Linked DNA regions of Mus musculus: region 2 is reported to be linked to region 1. Evidence: microRNA targets listed by miRTarBase, many of them from high-throughput screens and not tested one by one. Region 1 holds a microRNA gene; the other region holds the end of a gene's coding sequence.

What was found. The annotated mature microRNA mmu-miR-871-3p reads UGACUGGCACCAUUCUGGAUAAU and lies in region 1 at 1,699-1,721, opposite strand. An mRNA with a match to its seed (bases 2 to 7 or 8) in the 3' UTR can be bound and repressed. Matches are read on the target gene's strand: a 7mer-m8 pairs with bases 2 to 8, a 7mer-A1 pairs with bases 2 to 7 and ends in A, and an 8mer does both.
Region 2: miRTarBase lists Stk32b as a target of mmu-miR-871-3p. Seed matches in the 3' UTR shown: 7mer-A1 at 3,157-3,163 and 7mer-A1 at 2,639-2,645.

Annotation. Positions count from the first base shown.
Region 1 is chrX:66,808,740-66,812,807 of GRCm38, forward strand. Mir871 (microRNA 871) reads right to left here and starts at 1,765; the gene lies at 1,689-1,765.
Region 2 is chr5:37,445,264-37,449,331 of GRCm38, forward strand. Stk32b (serine/threonine kinase 32B) reads right to left here. Exons shown (of 12, transcript NM_022416.2): 12 at 1,562-3,528. The coding sequence ends at 3,390. Among named protein-coding and RNA genes, the nearest start is that of Evc2, 110 kb to the left of the region's middle.

The sequences.
Region 1 (4,068 bases):
ACCTGATATTGTTTTCACTACAAGGAAAAATATAATCTCCTTTATGTCGATCTGTAAAGGCTCATGAGGAAATAAATCCTATTTAAAAAGTCTGGGTTTTGCAAGTATCATCAGAAAACCTAAGGTTAAGGAAAATGCTTCAAGACCACTTACACTATCCCTTCCAGAACCCTGATCTTATGAGAATCATACAAGCTTGACTCTACCCAGAGAGTACCTGGCTACATTCATTTAATCCTACCAGCACCAATTTGCGACTGTCCAGGGCATATTTAATGAGTAGGTCATTTCCTAGACTTCTCCATGACACCCAGTAATAATGCACATTGGATTCTTCTTGTAATCTATTGAAAGCATCAGGAGAATTGCCCACTTATTAGTTACCTTATCTTTAAATTATATTAGATTATATCAATTGCCATTTCCTTAGATGAATGACAGTAAAAAGATATGAACTTTTATTTGCTATTTCTTCTTTATATACAAACTATTTTAATATTCTTTATCATTTTGCTTGAAAATGTACAAACATTATTATAGGCATATAATTGAAAATATACTGAGGATGAATAATTTAGTCGGGCCTGACTAACTCATTTTATATAGCCTATGAATTACTATTATGAGGCTAAGAATGGATAATTAAAACATTTTGAAAATAAGCAAATGATCTACAGGGTCTAAAGCTAATTATAAATATCCAGGAAGACACAACATGGGTGATTTCATCTACACCTACATTATCATCCAAAAGCCATTAAAAAGAGGTAAAGATAAGCCTTCCTCTACCCAGAGAGCTACTGTATACTTGCAGTTCATTTGAATAGCCCCACTGTGGGAAAAGAAATACACAAAAGACAATGTGGATCTGGTACACCAGGAATTTCTACCTTTCTGTTCATCTTTCATCACAGCACTAAAAAAACATAAACCTATACCAACTTATGACTTATTCATAATTTCAGAGATAACAAGATATTCTCTCTCACCATTGACTTCTATTTAACGGATCCCTTAAGTTCCATTCTATGTGAATGACTGTGTCAACTTGGAATGAAGATGTGCGGTTTTCTTTATTACCATTTTAATTATACTTCCTCATTTTCGAATCTACTCTTTTTAATTTTTTAATCTAACTTACTGGTAATAACATTAAAAATTATTCATTGATGTACCAAATTCACTCTGAAAATTCCTAATAGGCAGGTAGTGAACAAGAAAAACTTGTATCAACATATTTTCTAATGGACCAAAACATGTATCACAATCATGACTGATCTGCTGTGATAAAAATTAGACTTCCTCATACTTACTGTGTTTAGAGAAGAATCACACACCTCCACCACCACACTTCATTCAAGGAAACAAATATATATTCCTTTACATTATATTTTTCTCTCTGGATGCTCTGGACTCTTGTTTGTTTGTCTAATTGTCAAAATTAAGTATATAAAATTGTATTCATTTCATGTTTTTACCTGTAGTATAAAGGTACTTAGTATCCTCCAATTTTATCTTCTATGAACTGTAAGTGCTCCTGAGTTGTGATTTCTAGAAAAGAAAATATTTTCTATAATTATAGATGCTACAGGAATCAAATGACAAGCTGAAATTATGGAAGGCATGTAACATTCTTCGAAGTATATACTACCATGAACATCCAGGGTCAAATCACTTGAAGAATATAGTGAGCATTACATTATCCAGAATGGTGCCAGTCATATGTATTTCACATGACTGGCACTAATCTGAATAGAGCACTGCACACAACTCACACAACATAGATTTGTCAATGCCCCAGCCTTAATCTTACTAGAGCTATTTATGAGCCACAGACAACAAACCCAGTTTCACCTGGAATTTTCAGAAAAAAAGATTCTCATGGATCCTATCTTCCTGTCAAGAGTTGAGTCATGAAAATAAGCCTTTTTTAGTTTTCCACTAATTGTATTAGAATGTCTTTAACAAATTATCAGAACTTTTAACCAAATTACTTCCTCTGAAAAAAACTTTAAATATAATACTCAATAGTCCAAATAAGTAAATGAGGTGATTTGTGATATTTCCTGTGAGCAGAAAAGCCATCATAAGTATATTTTATCTCTCTGTCTGCCTATTTTTTCCTTTTTCTATTGATTTAATATAGCACATTATTTTAGGACAGTATTATCTCATTGTAGTACTTTATATGCCCCAATACAGGGGAATGCCAGGGCCAAGAACCAGGAGTGGATGGGTAGGGGAGCAGGGAGGAGGGAGGGTATAGGGAACTTTCGGGATAGCATTTGAAATGTATATAAAGAAAATATCTAATAAAAAATAAAACAAACAAACAAAAAACAAAAAAAAACCCCAAATGTCTATTTTTATTTATTCACTTTCCATTCCTAACACTGCCACCCCAATCCTTCCTCCCTTTCTTCCCTGATGGCGGGGGGGGGGGGTAGGTGGTTGGGTAAAATCCCACCCTAGTATACCAAGTTTCTGCCAGGCTAGACACACTCTCTTTGATGAAGGACAGAAGGCAACCGATTAGGGGAATGGATTTCGTAGACAGGCAACAGCATTAGCAATAGTTCCAGCTGTTAGGACCCACATGAAGATCAAGCTGCCCATCTGCTTCATATGTACGGAGAGGCCTAGGTTCAGCCTGTGTATGCTCCTTGGTTGGTAGCTCAGTCTCTAAGTGCCCCAAGGGTCCAGGTTAGTGAATTCTCTTGGTCTTCCTGTGGAGTTCCTATCCTCCTTCAGGTCCCAAGATCTTTACTTCTGTTCTTCCATTAAGAGCCCACAAGTTCCATCTACTGTTTGGCTGTGACTGTCTGAGTCAACTGCTGGGTAGAGCCTCTCAGAAGACAGCCATGCTAGACTTCTGTCTGCAAGATAACAGAGTATCATGAAGAGTGTCAGGGATTGGTACTTAACCATGGGATAGGTCTCTAGTTGGCCAGTTATTGGTTGGCCATTTCCTTAGGCTCTGCTCCATCCCTGTCCCTGCATTTCTTGCAGACAGGATAACATTTGAAATGAAAGTTTTGTGTGTAGATTGGTGTCCCTGCCTGGCTACAGCAGATGGCCTCTTCAGGTTCCATCTTCAGGTTCCATATTCCCAATGCTGTGAGTCACAGCTAAGATCACCCCCACTGACTCTTAGGAACCTGCCCTATCCTAGTTCTCTGGTGCATTTTTTTTAGTATTTTATTGAATATATTTGCATTAATATGACAAGATAAATCGGCCTGAAATTCTTTTTCTTAGTTAGCAGTATTCCTTCTGCTTCTATTTTGTGCAATAGTCTGAGCAGTACTGGCATTAGCTCTTTCTTTAAAAGCCTGGTAGAATTCTGCACTAAAACCACCTGGGCTTTTTTCTTTTGATAACTGTTTCCCTTTCCTTAAGTGTTATAGGGATGTTTCAATAGTTTACTTGATCTTGATTGAACTTTGGAAATAGGTATCTTTCTAAAATGTCTTACAATCTGTTAAAGATTTTCCAAATTTATGTAGAACAGGCTTTTAAAGTAAGAGCTAATGATTCTTTGAATTTATTCAATTTTATTTGTTAATGTCTCCCTTTTTAATTCTGATTTTGTTTATTTGGATACTGAAAGTAGGGAAACCTCACAATGGGCCGAACAGGGCCATAGCTACTTTCCATTTTTTATGGAGGTCCCTTCATATGCTAATAGCCTGGCACCTCCCAACAGTGGGATAGTTGGCTACTCCAGAGCTTGTATCAATACCCCATTGGTCCAAAAGCTGTATAAAAACACTTGCAAATGCACAATACATTAGATCTGTACTCAGTGATGATCTCTAGAGTTGATTTCCCCAACTCCACTTGCCAAAACTGCTCCTGAATTCTGGTTCATCCCACAAAATAGGTTAGAACAGATAATACACTAAATGTACAAAATAAAGAAAAAACTGCAACCACAAAAAGGCCAGGTATAATCTGAAGAATAATTTATCAATATTATACCTGCCTTTTCAACAGAAACAATAACAGCCACAGGGCCTGAGAAGATGTCTTACAGCTTCTAAGAGACCACAGATGCCAGCCCAACAA
Region 2 (4,068 bases), not on the chromosome of region 1:
AGGCTCCTTGAGTCCCAGGAAGTGAACAACATACAAGTCTTAGAAAGTCCCTGAAACTTATGAGGTTCAAAAGCCCCTTTCTTTCCTGGGGTTAAACAGTAAAACCTGCTAAAGAGAAGAGATTCTCCCATCTGTTGAGCAGCTTCCAATTGTTCAGAGTACTCCAAGACTACAGAATCCATGAGTCATCGCTCCTACTGTGTTGGGTTTTTGCATGGTATAGCTAGCTACCTTTGTGTCCCATACTCCTGTAAGAAACTCCAGTGCCCTCATTGGTTCACCAAATTGGACTTTGGTAGAATTCTTTCAGTGTGTTGTCAGTGTCCTGTTTGGGGTAAATGGTGTTTCTGTGTCTCCTCAGGCAGATCTCACACAGAAAAAGGGATAATGTATTTAATCTGATTGCTCTTCTGCCACAGCTGGGTTGAAGTCATTCACTCTGGGAACGGAGGTTGTATGAGAAAGAATGAAAAACACATTTGTAACTTGGGCCTCATGGAAAAGTGGCTCTGAAGAGGGTCAGTCCCCAATAACATTGAAGAGAAAAAGTCCTGAGAAACGCAGGGGAAGTGGGGAGTGAGTTGGTTAGGCGGTGCCCAAAGCAAATACACACAGCCAGTTTGTGTTGTGTTCCTCTATCTCCTTCATTAAAAGCCTGCTGCTTGCCCCTTACCAAGCAAGTTCTGTGAAAGCTACAGAAAATGTTCATGGAAGCCCACACGGAGTAGCTATACCTGGCATGAATTAGTGTTGCCACGAGTCCCAGGGGCCTTGGAAGAAGTGGTATTAACCTTTAACACTGATGTGATAACCTACACGGTTGGAAGCTGAGATTCATCCCAGTGGAGAGGAAGACTGGAAGGTGGTGAGGAAAACCGAGACGTCCACAGGCAATGAAGGCATTGGTTCCTGTGGTGCTGAGTGTGAGAGGTCCAGGTAGCAACTTGAGAACATCAGAAAGCATGTTTTGCCTATGTGCACTATTCTCTGGCTTTCTACCATGGAGGATAGATTCTCTCTTTACAAACACATAGCTGTAATATAAATTATAGTCACGTGGGGAGACCTTCCAATAAGCAAGCTCAATTTGATCTGGGGGGAAAAGTCAATGTGTCCTTCGAACAGCAACCCATAGCTTGAATCTTGTGTCTCCCAACAGTTTGTGTTCTAAAAGCTTGGTCCTAGAATGGTGATATTTAGAGGGAGTGAGACATTTGAGAGGTGAGTCTTGATGGAGGACTCTAGTTCACTGGGGGCATGCTCTTGTGGGACACAGTAGGACTCTGACTGCTCTTTACTCTTTTGATCCCTGGCTCCCATGAAAGTCAGTCCACCACACACTCCTGCCACAAGCTGCCTCCTCATGGGGCCTTAAAGAAAGAAGCCAAAAGAAATATTTTTCTCTTTCTAAGTTAGTTATCTCAGGTGTTTTGCTGCAGTGACAGAGAGCTGATAAACTCATCTTTTCACTTTGTCTCTGCTTCTGATTAATGTGGAGCCCCCTATGGATAAGAAGGTTTGTCCCACCCATCCCTGAATTAAGAGCCATTTACAAGGAACATCTGAGTGCTTATTTATTCTGAACAAGGAACATGGACTTAAACAGAGCCAAATAATCAGGGTCCCCACCGTGCACCTCCCCTTCACCACCTCCTCTCATTCACAAGCTCATGCCAAGAAGACATTATGATACTTCTAGGTCACAGTGTAGAGAAGATCGGCTGGATGTTCTGCAGGGCAGGAAGGGCAGACAGGGGCTGGAGACAGTACAGTGGGCAGGAGATAGACATGGTGGGGGGACTCAGTTAAGGGGGTGGTACAATGCAGTTATTTGAAAAGTGTAAAACCTTACCATACATTAAAATGTCTCTCAAGAGATCTAAGAGATGACACTGATAGACGTGAATCATAGTGAGAAAGTGGAAAATGGAAACAGAGGCTGACGTGAAAACACTTGATCTCAGTAGGGATGTTCTTAGCGGGGATGTCCAGACCTCAGAGGCTCCAGGTAAGAAAAGAAAACAAACTGTAAACTTGGAGGATCCTTGGTCCACAGAAATCAGACCTGCTATGTCACCAAAACAGGAAAGTACCTCCAACAGAGGAGGATTGCAGTCATGATGGTGGTGATGATGATAAATATGAGGAGGAGGAAGAGTAGGGGGAGGGTAGAGAAGAGGGAGGAGGAAGAGGAGGAAGAAGAAGAGGAGGGAGATGAGGAGGAGGAGGAGGAAGAAGAAGAGGAGGGAGATGAGGAGGAGGAGGAGGAAGAGGAGGGAGATGATGATGAGGAGGGTGATGGCCAACGTCAGTCATCACTGTGTGACACATGGGATCTTATCAAGTCCCATAACAAGGCCATCCTTCTCCTTCCTTTTTTGAGAATGAGAAAATTGACCTTTGAGCAAGCACATGATTTGCAGAGGTCTTCCAGTCTTGGCTGCAGCTGCCAACTGGCTTTCTTTGCTAATCTCAGCATCCTCAGCTCAAGGGTCAGCTGGTTCCTGGCCAGGGTATAAGATACTTGGCTTCTTGAGTGATTCTGCTTGTGTCTACAGAAGACTCTAAGCACCGAGGCTTCCTAAGGTATCAACAGGAAGCTCTGACTACCCAGCCAGGGAGCCTTTGCATGACAGGCTGACTGGACTCTTATATTCTTCCTGGTGGGGACTGAGGTCACGCTGCAGGATGAGTCTCCTCTGGGATCCCAGGACACTCTGTGGTGGGGAGGAGTGGCCAGAGACACAGTGCCATCTAACACGGGGATGTGGGGATATGGTGATAGCTGGTGATTGCTGGAATCCAAATGTGGGGGCAGCCTTCCACGAGTCAGGGAAAAACCTGTTTGCAGCAGAAACTCCTGGGCTTGGTCTTTATGCTGCACCATTCCAGAAGGCCAGGAAGTCTGTGTGTGACTCTTCCTGGTTGCTTTGGAACCTGGAAGTCCCATAAGAGGGACAAACATATCAGCTATTTATGTTGTTGAAAGTTCCATCAAGCAAACTAGGATGGGCCAAATTGCAAAGTTCTCATGGTTAAAATTGTGTGGGGGCTAGGGAGGACACTTTAGATATTGAGATAATTTACATGTATAAACACTTGATCAATGCCCAGGAGTTTACATATCTGCAGTCCAACCAGATTCTCACAATTTTATGACTGGAGATGGGGCAAAGAGCTGTTTAACCCCTTCCACAGATGCAGAAAACTGAGGCACAGAGAATGTGTGATTTGCTCAAGGTCACACAGCGAATCAGCTGGAAACAAGGACCAGAACCCTGAATACAGAGCTCTTCCTGCATCTGATGTTTTAGGGGTGAGATGGGGTCCATCAGGGGACAGGGGGGTTCTGGGTGTCAGGGCAGACAGTGTCATCTGGGCAGTCGAGTTTAGCTGCTGCAGCCTCGGGGGCATGTATGGGTCAGGATGTTATTGTTTCGACCATCCTGCAGCTTGCTTGAGGTCTGGCTTCCTATTCGGCCATCCAGGTCTGAGAGTTGGCCATTATGTCCCTGCTGCCTCCTGAGTCTGCAACAAACACAACATAGACTTAGTTAGTGGTGGTGGGCTGGATGCAGCTACATGATGGTGAGAGATTCCTGAGAGACAGCTGGAACCTGGCCTTCCCAGGAATGCATGACTCTCTGGGAGTTCCCAGTGCTCCGCTTGGATATACCAGGTGAGTGACTTAACACACAGAGCCTCAGTTTCTCTGACTACAAAATGGAGATGATAATTCCAACCTTGCCAATCCCTGTGGTAGTTATAAAGCATTACAGACATAATTTGCTAAGGTTCAAAACCAGGAGAGTTGTCTGGTGAATCTATGCACCATTCGGTCTGTTTATACCCATGAACAGAACAGTAGCCGTGCTAAGGGCAGGGGCTATGTTGGAAGGCAAAGCAGCCCCTGTCCTCATAGAGATTATGTTGCAGAGGAGATATTCTCACAAACAAATATCTGTATAATCAAACACAAAGACAGATGAAACACTTCACAGCAAGTCATGCTAAGGGTTTTAGAGTCTGGATGCTGCAATTCTTTGCAGCTGGCCACCTGTTGCAGGT